Macaca fascicularis: one gene and its partners. The protein of the gene in region 1 interacts with the protein of each later gene in a pairwise test. Links are inferred from orthologs where the notes say so. Each region holds a gene or a part of one and is shown in the gene's direction. Other genes may lie near its edges.

Region 1 (4,526 bases):
CCTGCTGGCAGACCCACCACCCCGCCTTCAACTTCTCCTCTCCCACTGCCCCAGGAGTCCCAGATTCCCTTCCCCCACCCACCCCATCCTGCTCACTCAGGCCTGGTCACCTCAGTTGCTCTACCTGTCAGCGCGTTCTGCACCCAGAGCTTGGATGAGAAATGGAAAATTCCCAGCTCCCTGTGCTCCCTTCCTGGCTGCAGGACCTCATCCAAGGGTCACCTTGAATTGAGTGCTGATCCCCCTGCGGGGAAGCGAGTCTGAGCTGACAGCCAGGAGGGAGAGCTTACAAGGGAGCCCAGGGATGTGGCCTGCAGCCCCTTGAGGCCCCTGCTCCGAGCGGGGCCCAGCTGGGGGCTGGAGGGCAGGACTGGGGATCCCACCACAGCACCAGAGTGCAGGGGTACAAGGGTAGGTCTGGAGCCTCAGGGCAAGAGCCTGGGGCCAGAGTGGTGGGAGAGGGAGCCTTGGAGGATGAGGTCGGCACAAGAGCCTGTGCAGGTCCTGGGCGGTGAGAGTGGGGCTTGAGGGAGAGCCAGGTTCTGGGACCAAGAGCCCAGCGTCTTGGAGCCAGCCTGGAGCCTGGCCCTGGGGGCTGTTGAGCCAGGCCTGAGTCGCCCTCTGGTGGCCACTTCCCAGACTGCAGCCAGACCCTGTCACCTGGGACTCCCACCTCTCTTCCAAGCCCTGTTGCTCCTCTTCCCAATGTCCCATCTCCAAGCTCACTTCCCTTCCTCTCCTCTGAGCCCTCGCTTCCTCTGAGACCCCAGACCCAGGTCCCAGGCCCATAGGCGGTTTTTTTTTTTTTTTTTTTTGAGACGGAGTCTGGCTCTGTCGCCCAGGCTGGAGTGCAGTGGCCAGATCTCAGCTCACTGCAAGCTCCGCCTCCCGGGTTCACGCCATTCTCCTGCCTCAGCCTCCTGAGTAGCTGGGACTACAGGCGCCCACCACCTCGCCCGGCTAGTTTTTTGTATTTTTTAGTAGAGACGGGGTTTCACCGTGTTAGCCAGGATGGTCTCGATCTCCTGACCTCGTGATCCGGCGGTATTTTTTTTTTAAGACAGAGTTTTGCTCTTGTTGCCCCGGCTGGAGTGCAGTGGCCTGATCTCGGCTCACTGCAGTCTCCACCTCCCAGGTTCAAGCGATTCTCCTGCCTCAGCCTCCTGAGTAGCTGGGATTACAGGCACCTGCCACCACGCCTGGCTAATTTTTTGTACTTCTAGTAGAGCCAGGGTTTCACCATGTTGGCCAGGCTGGTCTTGAACTTCTGACCTCAGGAGATCCGCCTGCCTCAGCCTCCCAAAGTGCTGGGATTACGGGCATGTGCCACCATGCCTGTCCCTTTTTTTTTTTTTTTTTGAGACAGGATCTCACTCTGTCTTCCAGGCTGGAGTGTAGTAGCACGATCTTAGCTCACTGCAACCTCTACCTCCCGGTTCAAGCAATTCTCCTGCCTCAGCCTCCTGAGTAGCTGGGATTACTGGCACCCTCCACCATGCCTGGCTAATTTTTGTATTTTCAGTAGAGATGGGGTTTCACCGTGTTAGCCAGGCTGGTCTCGAACTCCTGACCTCAAATGATCCACCCACCTCAGCCTCCCAAAGTGCTGGGATTACAGGTGTGAGCCACCGCACCTGGCCTTTAGGCTGTATTCGTCTTCTAGGGCTCTGGGCTCAGTTTCTGTTGCCGTGGTAACCTTTCCCATTTTTGGTCTTCTCTGGAAAGTCAGGGACCCTCTGGCCAGGTCCCGGGGTCACCCATGATGTGAGCCTTGTGGGGTTTTTTGGTAGTAGAGCACTCATGATCTATGGAAGACCACGAGTACGTCAGAACGCCCCCTACCCCAGCCACCTCCACCCTCTTTCCCAAGGCCTTGAGGGACAGAGGGGACAGGATGGGGTCAGAGGTGGGGAGGGGCCTCCGAGGGCCAGGCCCTTCGTCTCCCTTCACACCCTTTACTCCCCTCTCAGACCCAGGCTTCTGCCCCACGCCCCTCCCCTGGCCCAGCCACCAGCTGACTTCCTCGGCCGGCCCCCTCCCCTCCACTCTGGGATTGGTGCCAGGGTGAGAAGGGGACACTGGCACTGACCGTGTCTGGGAATTCCCGCCCACCGAGGAGCCGAGGGGAGGGGGGGTCCCCGTGTCCCCAAGGAGCCAATAGCAGCCAGGCCTTGCCCTTGGGGGGGGTGGTGTATATCTTTCAGGCCAGCACCCCCGAGGCACTGTCTCCTCTCTGCCCGCCTGGCACCAGCCAGACCCCGCTCTGCCCGGGGGGCTCTGAGCCCCCCAGGCATTCCCTTCACTGCATCCTTCTCCGTTGGGGGGGCGTCTAAGGACCCTTTCCCCTTGGGCATGGCCCAGCCAGGGATCTCTGTCAAGTCCCTGGTGTCATCTTATGAGACCCGAGTGGTGGGGATGGCTCCGGGGCCGCCCCGAAAAAGGGGCTGTGCCTCTTCCCCTTGCTCTCCCCGGGGTGCGTCCCCCATACGAGGGACATCTGGGCCCCCGCCCCACCGGGGCCTGGGAGGCCCTGGGCAGCGGCCCTCAGCCCGCAGGGGGATGGACAAAACCCTCCTCTCCCTCATTCTCTACTGTCACAGGTATAGGGGGGTGTGGGCGGGAGGCTGTGGTCCAAGAAACCAGCACCTGGGAAGGCTCCTCCTCTCCTCCCCTCACCTTCCTGTGTCTCTCCAGTGGCTCCGGAAGCCTGGTTGGCATTGACAACAAAATCGAGCAAGCCATGGTAAGAGAAGCCATCTTGGTCCCAGGAGGTCCCGGCCCCCTTAAGCCATCCCTCCGCCCCAGCCCTGTCTTCTTCCTTACCAGGGAACACCAACTCCCAGTTCCTCCATCCCTCTCCCTGCTGGGCTCCTGGGCATCCTCTGCCCCCTCCTACCGCCACCTGCACCCTTGACTTTGCCCGGCCTCTGGTCTGGCTGCTGGTCCCCATCTCTGTCTTTGAGCTCTGACTCTGCCTCTGTCCCTCGTCCTTTTCCCCTGTCCCTTCCCTGCTTTGTCTCTCATCCTCTGGACACGGGACTCTCTCCCATCCCGGCCCTTGAGGCACTGGGCAGGGGATGAGGCACCCACTCCGTTGACACTGTGCCTGTCCCCGGGGCCCCCAGGATTTGGTGAAGTCCCACCTCATGTTTGCGGTCCGGGAGGAGGTGGAGGTACTGAAGGAGCAGATCCGGGAACTGGCAGAGCGGAACGCTGCGCTGGAGCAGGAGAACGGGCTGCTGCGCGCCCTGGCCAGCCCGGAGCAGCTGGCTCAGCTGCCCTCCTCGGGGGTCCCACGGCTTGGGCCCTCCGCGCCCAATGGGCCCTCCGTCTGAGCCTCCCTTCCCTTACAATGTGCCTTTGGGGCTGCCCGGCCTTTTGTCAGCCGCCTGCCCCCTCTTCCTATGCAGCTTTAATGTCCCCATGTCCCCAGGGTGGGAGTTCAAGGCTCAGTAACGGCCTGGTCCCCCGGCCCCTGCCCCATCTCCTCATCATCCCCAGCCTTGATGGAGGAGGGAGGACTTCAGGACGGGGCATCAGAGGGAGCCCCCTCTGGGAGGGAACCAACCTCCACCCTCCCTCATGGGACCCCCAGCAGTCGACGGCCTGGGGGAGTTGGAGGCTCCCTGGCAGACACCCCACCCCCACCTTGTTCCCTTGAGGTGCATCCTCTCCTCTGCCTAGGGGAGGGAGTGTGGACAGTATCTGGAAGTTCTGGGATTCAGGTTGTTATTAAAATAATAATAATTAAAAATTCTGAAGAAACTTGAATTTGGAGGTTGACATCTCGTTCGTTGCTTGTGTTCAGACTCAGGGGTTGCGCCTGCCATTTGGGGCTTCCCTGAGATCTTTTGCAGACTGGGGAGGTTTAAAGCGTGGGAGATGGAGGGGTTGAGACAGAGACTGGAGAAGGGAGCCAGCGGTTCGGGTCCTGGGAAGGGGCAGGCGAGGATTGGGGGTGGGGGGGCGTCTGCCCACGTGCTGGGCGGGGGGACCAGGAAACAATGAGGTCTTTGGTGGCTGCCCAAGATCCACCCCCAGCTTCCCAGTGTGTCCCCTCTGCGGGCTGGATCCGGGTGGCTGCTTGGGGGCGGGGCGGGGGGCCCTGAATGGGCCCCTTGTCTCTGGGCTGGGTGTGGGCCAGACTCCCTGGGCACACGGTGCCCTTGCCAGGCCTGGCCGGCCGCCGTGGCTCCCACCCCCGGCCAGCTGAGGACGGGCCCTGTGGGTGAGATGGCCCCTCCCTGGCAGCCTGGGCTCCAGTCCCAGGCGGAAGAGTCAGCAGTGATGGAGAAGGACCCCATCTAGCGGGGAAGAGGTGAGAGTTGCGGATGTAGCCCCAGGAGGCCCCTAGCCCCAGCAGCCTCCAAGGAGGCTGACCTGCCTTGGAGTCCGTGACTCTCTGCCTCCTTAGGTTTCCCTAGGTTCATAACCTTGGGCAACTTCTTTGGTTTTTCTTTTTTTTTTCTTCGTTTCTTCTTTCTTTTTTTGAGACAGGGTCTTGCTCTGATGCCCGGAATGCAGCG
Region 2 (3,330 bases), on another chromosome or scaffold:
CTATAAGGAATTATATTAGATTCACACAATTTATGATGTAGCTCTGCTGTACTTCCTTTAATGCCATCTACTTCCTAAGACACTTGATAAATTTCTGAAAGTTCCAGACTCCCTGGAAGAGAAGTGTCTGTCTTTATACTCTAATGTTTAGCATTGTCCTAGGCATGCTTTTCTATAAACTGGGAACCATTTCTTACAGTGAAATGTAGTTTGCTTCTGAAGGCTTTGGTTTATTTTAGGAAATTTTTAGCTTATAAAATAATTTGATACACAATTTAATGTTTTATTTGAGAAAATAGGAATTTAGACATTTAGGCATTACTAAAAGTGCCAAAATGATTATACCAATTAAATATTTTAGATAGCATTTGTTATTTTATTTCAAGAGATGCTGAAGTTTCCTGAACTTGAAATGATTGGCAGATTTTCTAGTCATCTGATACTAAATGACCTGACACTAAGACCAGCTCTAAAAGATGCCTGGCAGGATAAATGAAGTAATGAGGATGTATGTTGTGCCTACTAGGTTATAGGTCCAAAGGATACTTTCATTCACAGTTTTTACAAACCTCCTTTTTAAAGCACTGCTTATTTGATGTTGAGAGCATTTAATCAAATAAATAATCTTACCACTATGTTTGAAATAACTTAAAACCTAAAATGAATTAATTGATTGGGTGCACTGTTGATTTTTTTTTTTTTTTTTTTTTTTGACAGTGCACCCAGAGAAAAGTCTCAGAAAGCTATCCAGGATGAAATCCGTTCAGTGATCAGACAGATAACAGCTACGGTGACATTTCTGCCACTGTTGGAAGTTTCCTGTAAGTATACAACTTCTTGTTGGATTAAATTGATTGGCAAAAAGACTAAGCTACTGCCTTAATCACCCCTTTATTCAATTTTGTCTTGTCAGATTTATGTAATATAAATTGAAGAAAAAACATTATAAAGGAAAATTAATGTATCATAGTCTCCCTTTCCACAAGGAGACCCACAGTGACTACCTGAAACCATGGATAGTATGAACCCTGTATGATGTTTTTCTTATGCATACATACCTGTGATACAATTTAATATGTAAATTAAGCATCGTAAGAGTTAATAAACTGGAACAATTATAACAATATGCTGGCATCACTATTCTTGTGCTTTGGGACCATTATTTTTATTTATTTATTTATTTATTTATTTTGAGACGGAGTCTCACTCTGTCGCCCAGGCTGGAGTGCAGTAGCGCGATCTCGGCTCACTGCAAGCTCTGCCTCCCAGGTTCACACTATTCTCCCGCCTCAGCATCCCCAGTAGCTGGGACTACAGGCACCCGCCACCATGCCCAGCTAATTTTTTGTATTTTTAGTAGAGACGGGGTTTCACCATGATAACCAGGATGGTCTCGATCTCCTCCTGACCTAGTGATTCGCCCACCTTGGGCTCCCAAAGTGCTGGGATTACAGGCGTGAGCCACCGCACCCACCCTTGGGACCATTATTAAATAAGATAAGGGTTACTTGAACACAATCACTAAATTGCACAGAAATTAGATACAATATTTTCTTTATTAAGATAAATGTTCATTGAGCAAAATAAATTAGTGATTAGAGGCCAAGCCAAATGACCTTTTCCAGCAGTGAGTTGTTCAAAATAGAAGAGAGGCAACAAGATTAGTTTTACTTTTAGAAAGTAATGTACTTTAATGATCTTATCCCCAATTTAGGTTCATTTGATCTGCTGATTTATACAGACAAAGATTTGGTTGTACCTGAAAAATGGGAAGAGTCGGGACCACAGTTTATTACCAATTCTGAGGAAGTCCGCCTTCGTTCATTTACTACTACAATCCACAAAGTAAATAGCATGGTGGCCTACAAAATTCCTGTCAATGACTGAGGATGACGTGAGGAAAATAATGTAATTGTAATTTTGAAATTTGGTTTTCCTGAAATCAAATCATCTACAGTTAATATGTTTTATTTCATTGGTTAATTTTTACATGGAGAAAACCAAAATGATACTTACTGAACTGTGTGTAATTGTTCCTTTTATTTTTTGGTGCCTATTTGACTTACCATGGAGTTAACATCATGAATTTATTGCACACTGTTCAAAAGGAACCAGGAATTTTTTTTGTCAACGTTGTGATGTATATTCTTTGAAGATAGTAACTGTAGATGGAAAAACTTGTGCTATAAAGCTAAATGCTTTCCTAAATCAGATGTTTTGGTCAAGTAGCTTGACTCAGTATAGGTAGGGAGATATTTAAGTATAAAATACAGCAAAGGAAGTCTAAATATTCAGAATCTTTGCTAAGGTCCTGAAAGTAACTAATAATCTATAAACATGAAATATTGCTGTATTAGCTCCTTTTGACCTTCATTTCATGTATAGTTTTCCCTAATGAATCAGTTTCCAAATTTGACTTTAATTTATGTAACTTGAACTTATGAAACAATGGATATTTGTACTCTTTAATGTTCTGTGATACAGAACTCTTAAAAATGTTTTTGTGTGTGTGTGTTTTATAAAATCAAGTTTTAAGTGAAAGTGAGGAAATAAAGTTAAGTTTGTTTTAAATTTGTCTTAAAAATTTTGATACTGGTTTGGTGTTGATATAGTTAAATGGTAATTAGAATTGATTCAGCATAACTATTGAATTCTTGTTCCTATGAAGTTATAGAACTTAAAGATACAAAGTTGAGTGAGTCTTGAGGTGTCTTCAATCTAATGGATAAACTTTGATCACATCCTGTTGATCTCATAGCAATAGACAAAGCTATTACTTCATCATTGTGAAAGGATAAATGTCCTTTGGAATTAGTCCAACAATTCCAGTTGAACAAATGTTGATTTTAGTACTTTACTATACTCTTAGCCTTATTATCAGCCTACTTTTCTTTAGGTATTTAAATACTATGCTTATTCCTGTGCTTTCATTAATACCTTCATCTGGTACATGCTTTCTATCCAGTTCTCACCTGTTTTTCCAAAGTCAATTTAAGGCAGATTTGTAAAGTCTTCTCTCATCTCTAATCTAAATCTGACCTCATTTTGTAAAAATTCAGTTTATTAATGCTTATTATTAGACACTTAAGTTCTTTATGTGTATGAAGTAATTGCAGATAGTCTGAATGTGTTCATTCAGAAATTACATATTGAGCAAATACTGTGGATCAGTGGCAGTTTCTGGGTTCTCAGTGACAAATTTGTAGACTCTTCATATCTTTATGGAATAAATGGAGCACTGGTGTTACCCAGCTAGATGATATCAAGAAAATGGCCAATAAATGCTTCATTTGTATTTTAACTATTTGAGATGTCAGACTAAATTCTGTG
Region 3 (4,187 bases), on another chromosome or scaffold:
GCTAGGATGGTCTTCGTCTCCTGACCTCGTGATCCGCCCGTCTCGGCCTCCCAAAGTGCTGGGATTACAGGCTTGAACCACCGCGCCCGGCTGAGTTATTTGTATTTGTAAGAAATAACCTAGGCCAGTGCGGTGGCTCATGCCTGTAATCCCAGCACTTCGGGAGGCTGAGGCAGGCGGATGATGAGGTCAGGAGATCGAGACCATCCTGGCTAACACGGTGAAACACCATCTCTACTAAAAATACAAAAAATTAGCCCGATGTGGTGGCACATGCCTATAGTCCCAGCTACTCGGGAGGCTGAGGCAGGAGAATCGCTTGAACCTGGGAGGCGGAGGTTGCAGTGAGCCAAGATCACACCACTGCACTCCAGCCTGGGCAACAGAGTGAGATTCCATCCCCTCCGCCAAAAAAGAAATAACCTATATCAGATCTAGTGCCCCAGAGAATGGAAACTTCAGAGCCTTTGACCAATGTGAATGAAATGAAAGCTGGAAGCTTAAAGTCTTAGCTCTGACTTGAATTTGTGGCTGCTTGAATGTGGGTATTTATTTTGTTTGTTATTGTATCTCAAGGACTTAGCCCAATGGTTGGCCCACAATAAGTGCTTAAAAAAAATCTGTCAAATGAGTGAATGAAAAAAAAAATGTTGTTAACCAATACTCATTTGTCACAGTCACATCACAGGAAAGGTGAGGTCATCAGGGATGAAGTCACTAACAACTGCCAGTTACCTGCCCCAAGGGTAGCCTCACCATGGACTGGCGGGCTTGTTCTGTGTAGAGAAGGGATGGATAGTGAATGCCAAAGTTAGTTCTAGCTGGATAAATTAGCCAAGGGTTTCAGCTGGATAAGTTGGCTGAGGGTGCTACAGGTCCAGCCTTAAGGCTGTCTCAGTGCAACATTTTGGAGTCTGGAGTCATCTGTTCTGAATAGCACCCATACAGCTTTTTTGTTTTTAATTCTTGAGATGGAGTCTCACTCTGTTGCCCAAGCTGGAGTGCAGTGGCACAATCTCAGCTCACTGAAACCTCTGCCTCCCTGGTTTAAGTGATTCTCCTGCTTCAGCCTCCTGAGTAGCTGGGACTACAGGTACGTGCCACCACACCCGGCTAATTTTTTTATTTTTAGTAGATACAGGGTTTTGCCATGTTGGTTAGGCTGGTCCTGAACTCTTGACCTCAGGTAATCCACCTACCTCAGTCTCCCAAAGTGTTGGGATTACAGGCGTGAGCCACCGTGCCTGGCCACACATAGCTTAATTCTTGAGCACAGTACAAATAGGGTGTACTTGTGGATTCAAAGGGAAGCATGTTGGATGAATATTTGCCAAGAAGGAATGGAGCACCTGATTTTGCTGTTGATTTGAACCTGACTCTAAGTGAGGTTGGACTGCCGTAAATCTTGTATTTGTCATTCCTAGGTGGGTCATCTTCAACTATGATAGCTCACCTTCTCTAGACTTGAGTTAGGAGAATAGTTAATGTTGCAGTATTTAGGACTGATTCTGATTTTGGATTTAAAGGAAACAACGGTGGTGTGTGTTTCCTATTTTTAATTTTTAAAAATTTTGTGTAGAGACTGGGGTCTTGTTATGTTGTCCAGGCTGGTCTCAAGTGCCTGGCCTGTTTTCTTTTGAATTTGCAGATGAAGTTATTAGGATTATTAAATCTTTTTATTTATTTATTTTTTTGAGACAGGGTCTCCCTCTGTTGCCCAGCCAATGGCATGATCATAGCTCACTGCAGCCTCAAACTCCTGGGCAATCAAGTGATTCTCCCTTCAGCCTCCCGGGTAGCTGGGACTATAGCTGTGTACCGCCTCACCCTGCTAATTTTAAAATTTTTTTTGTAAAGATGGGCTCTCACTTTGTTGCCCAGGCTGGATCTCAAACTCCTGGCCTCAAGTGAACCTCTTGCCTCGGCTTCTCAAATTCCTAGGATTACAGGGGTGAGCCACTGTGCTCAACTGGATTACTAAATTTTTCTTTTTTTTTTTTTTTTTTGAGATGGGGTGCTTGCTCTGTCACCCAGACTGGAGTGCAGTGGCACGATCTCGGCTCACTGCAACCTCTACCTCCCTGGTTCAAAAAATTCTCGGCCGGGCGCGGTGGCTCACGCCTGTAATCCCAGCACTTTGGGAGGCCGTGGCGGGCGGATCACGAGGTCAGGAGATCGAGACCATCCTGGCTAACACAGTGAAACCCCGTCTCTACTAAAAATACAAAAAATTAGCCGGGCGTGTGGTGGGCGCCTGTAGTCCCAGCTGCTTGGAAGGCTGAGGTGGGAGAATGGTGTGAACCTAGGAGGTGGAGCTTGCAGTAAGCAGAGATTGCGCCACTACACTCCAGCCTGGGCAACAGAGTGAGACTCCGTCTCAAAAAAAAAAAAAGAAAAAATTCTCCTGCCTCAGTCTCCTGAGTAGCTGGGACTACAGGCACATGCCACCACACCCAGCTAATTTTGTATTTTTAGTAGAAATGGGGTTTCACCATGTTGAACTCCTGACCTCAGGTGATCTGCCCACCTCGGCCTCCCAAAGGGATTACGGGCGTGAGCCACCGTGTCCAGCCTGGGTTACTAAATCTTTACAGATGTATCCTGACTCTCTCTGCCTTCTCCCTCTGTACTTGCCCCAACCATTGCAGGCCTGAGTGTTCCTTCCAGCATGTCGGAGGGGGAGTCCCAGACAGTACTCAGCAGTGGCTCAGATCCAAAGGTAGAATCCTCATCTTCAGCTCCTGGCCTGACATCAGTGTCACCTCCTGTGACCTCCACAACCTCAGCTGCTTCCCCAGAGGAAGAAGAAGAAAGTGAAGATGAGTCTGAGATTTTGGAAGAGTCGCCGTGTGGGCGCTGGCAGAAGAGGCGAGAAGAGGTAAGGTGATGGTACAGTCACTCTTGGGGGAGTGAGTTCTGGAAAGGTGAGAACTGGAAGACCGAAGTCTTAAAAGAGGCCGACCAAACTTCAATAGGTTGGGGGCTAGGAGGAGATGATCATATGGAGTGTTAAGATGGAGGATTTGCGAGATAACTTTAATTGTCTTTCATATGAATTTCTTCTCAGGTGAATCAACGGAATGTACCAGGTATTGACAGTGCATACCTGGCCATGGATACAGAGGAAGGTGTAGAGGTTGTGTGGAATGAGGTACAGTTCTCTGAGCGCAAGAACTACAAGCTGCAGGAGGTAGGTAATGCTGAAAAGGTGAAGCCTGGGGAATGTTGGAACACTGATGTTAGAGAGGAATTGGTATTGGGAAGCTGCCCATGAGGAGAGTATGTTGGGGTCAGTTCATTTCTGGGGAGGGACAGGGAATGGCTTCTCAGGATTATTACAGTGATTCATGAACTCTGTTATTCCACTGTCTCCCTTGCTCTCAGGAAAAGGTTCGTGCTGTGTTTGATAATCTGATTCAATTGGAGCATCTTAACATTGTTAAGTTTCACAAATATTGGGCTGACATTAAAGAGAACAAGGCCAGGGTAAGAATTTTTTCCCCATATTTCCTGAACTTACTGCAAAGAGACTAGCTACATTTATTATTGTTCGTTTTACACTCAGAGATTAAAACAAGGTAGTTTTGAAACAGAACTGGAATCAGCTGCAATGGCGATAAGAGTAGGGCTTCAGTTGTCACCTATGCCTTTTATATGGCTATAGATTGGGCAGAAAATGAGTGAACTTTTGCTTCCTTCTTCCCATAACTTTTATTGCTTAGTAGTTTCCATTGCCCTATTTAGTCTAAGTAAGTAAAGCTAAGAACAAAAGGAGAGAAATTTTAACAAACTTTCAAATTTAAAATCTGTTACAAGGGAAGGGATCATTTCTACTATAAGACCTTTTAGTAAATGCTTTGCCTCCCCAGGTCATTTTTATCACAGAATACATGTCATCTGGCAGTCTGAAGCAATTTCTGAAGAAGACCAAAAAGAACCACAAGACCATGAATGAAAAGGTATAGAAGGAGAGCAGACAAAGTTTTAGGCTCGGGGTGGGGCAGGGCGGGGGCCTTAAAAATTACTGTGTTAATAATGAAGCTGATCAGGAAGGGATGGAAGGAGCTAGTGGGAGAGAGTTAAGAGAGGGAATTACTGCTGACCCTTGGATCAAACTTTGTTCCAGGCATGGAAGCGCTGGTGCACACAAATCCTCTCTGCCCTAAGGTAAGTAGTACCTGGTTAGT

The links. The genes of interacting proteins can lie anywhere in the genome.
Region 2: the proteins of TSC22D4 (region 1) and MAD2L1 interact in binary tests that used the Homo sapiens proteins (3 or more experiments, as listed by UniProt). The two-hybrid records come from large-scale screens. The link is inferred for Macaca fascicularis from reciprocal best matches to the Homo sapiens genes TSC22D4 and MAD2L1.
Region 3: the proteins of TSC22D4 (region 1) and NRBP1 interact in binary tests that used the Homo sapiens proteins (3 or more experiments, as listed by UniProt). The link is inferred for Macaca fascicularis from reciprocal best matches to the Homo sapiens genes TSC22D4 and NRBP1.

The regions. Positions count from the first base shown.
Region 1 is NC_088377.1:49,048,471-49,052,996, reverse strand, and holds the end of TSC22D4 (TSC22 domain family protein 4), read left to right. Parts: intron 1-2,600; coding exon of another isoform or gene 2,601-2,694; coding exon 2,695-2,743; intron 2,744-3,125; coding exon 3,126-3,335; 3' UTR 3,336-3,771; downstream 3,772-4,526.
Region 2 is NC_088379.1:125,163,709-125,167,038, reverse strand, and holds the end of MAD2L1 (mitotic spindle assembly checkpoint protein MAD2A), read left to right. Parts: intron 1-717; coding exon 718-821; intron 822-1,714; coding exon 1,715-1,887; 3' UTR 1,888-2,571; downstream 2,572-3,330. UniProt on the Homo sapiens protein: Component of the spindle-assembly checkpoint that prevents the onset of anaphase until all chromosomes are properly aligned at the metaphase plate.
Region 3 is NC_088387.1:94,785,217-94,789,403, reverse strand, and holds part of NRBP1 (nuclear receptor-binding protein), read left to right. Parts: intron 1-2,648; 5' UTR 2,649-2,668; coding exon 2,669-2,878; intron 2,879-3,067; coding exon 3,068-3,190; intron 3,191-3,384; coding exon 3,385-3,486; intron 3,487-3,869; coding exon 3,870-3,959; intron 3,960-4,126; coding exon 4,127-4,167; intron 4,168-4,187. UniProt on the Homo sapiens protein: Required for embryonic development. Plays a role in intestinal epithelial cell fate and proliferation, thereby involved in the architectural development of the intestine potentially via the regulation of Wnt-responsive genes.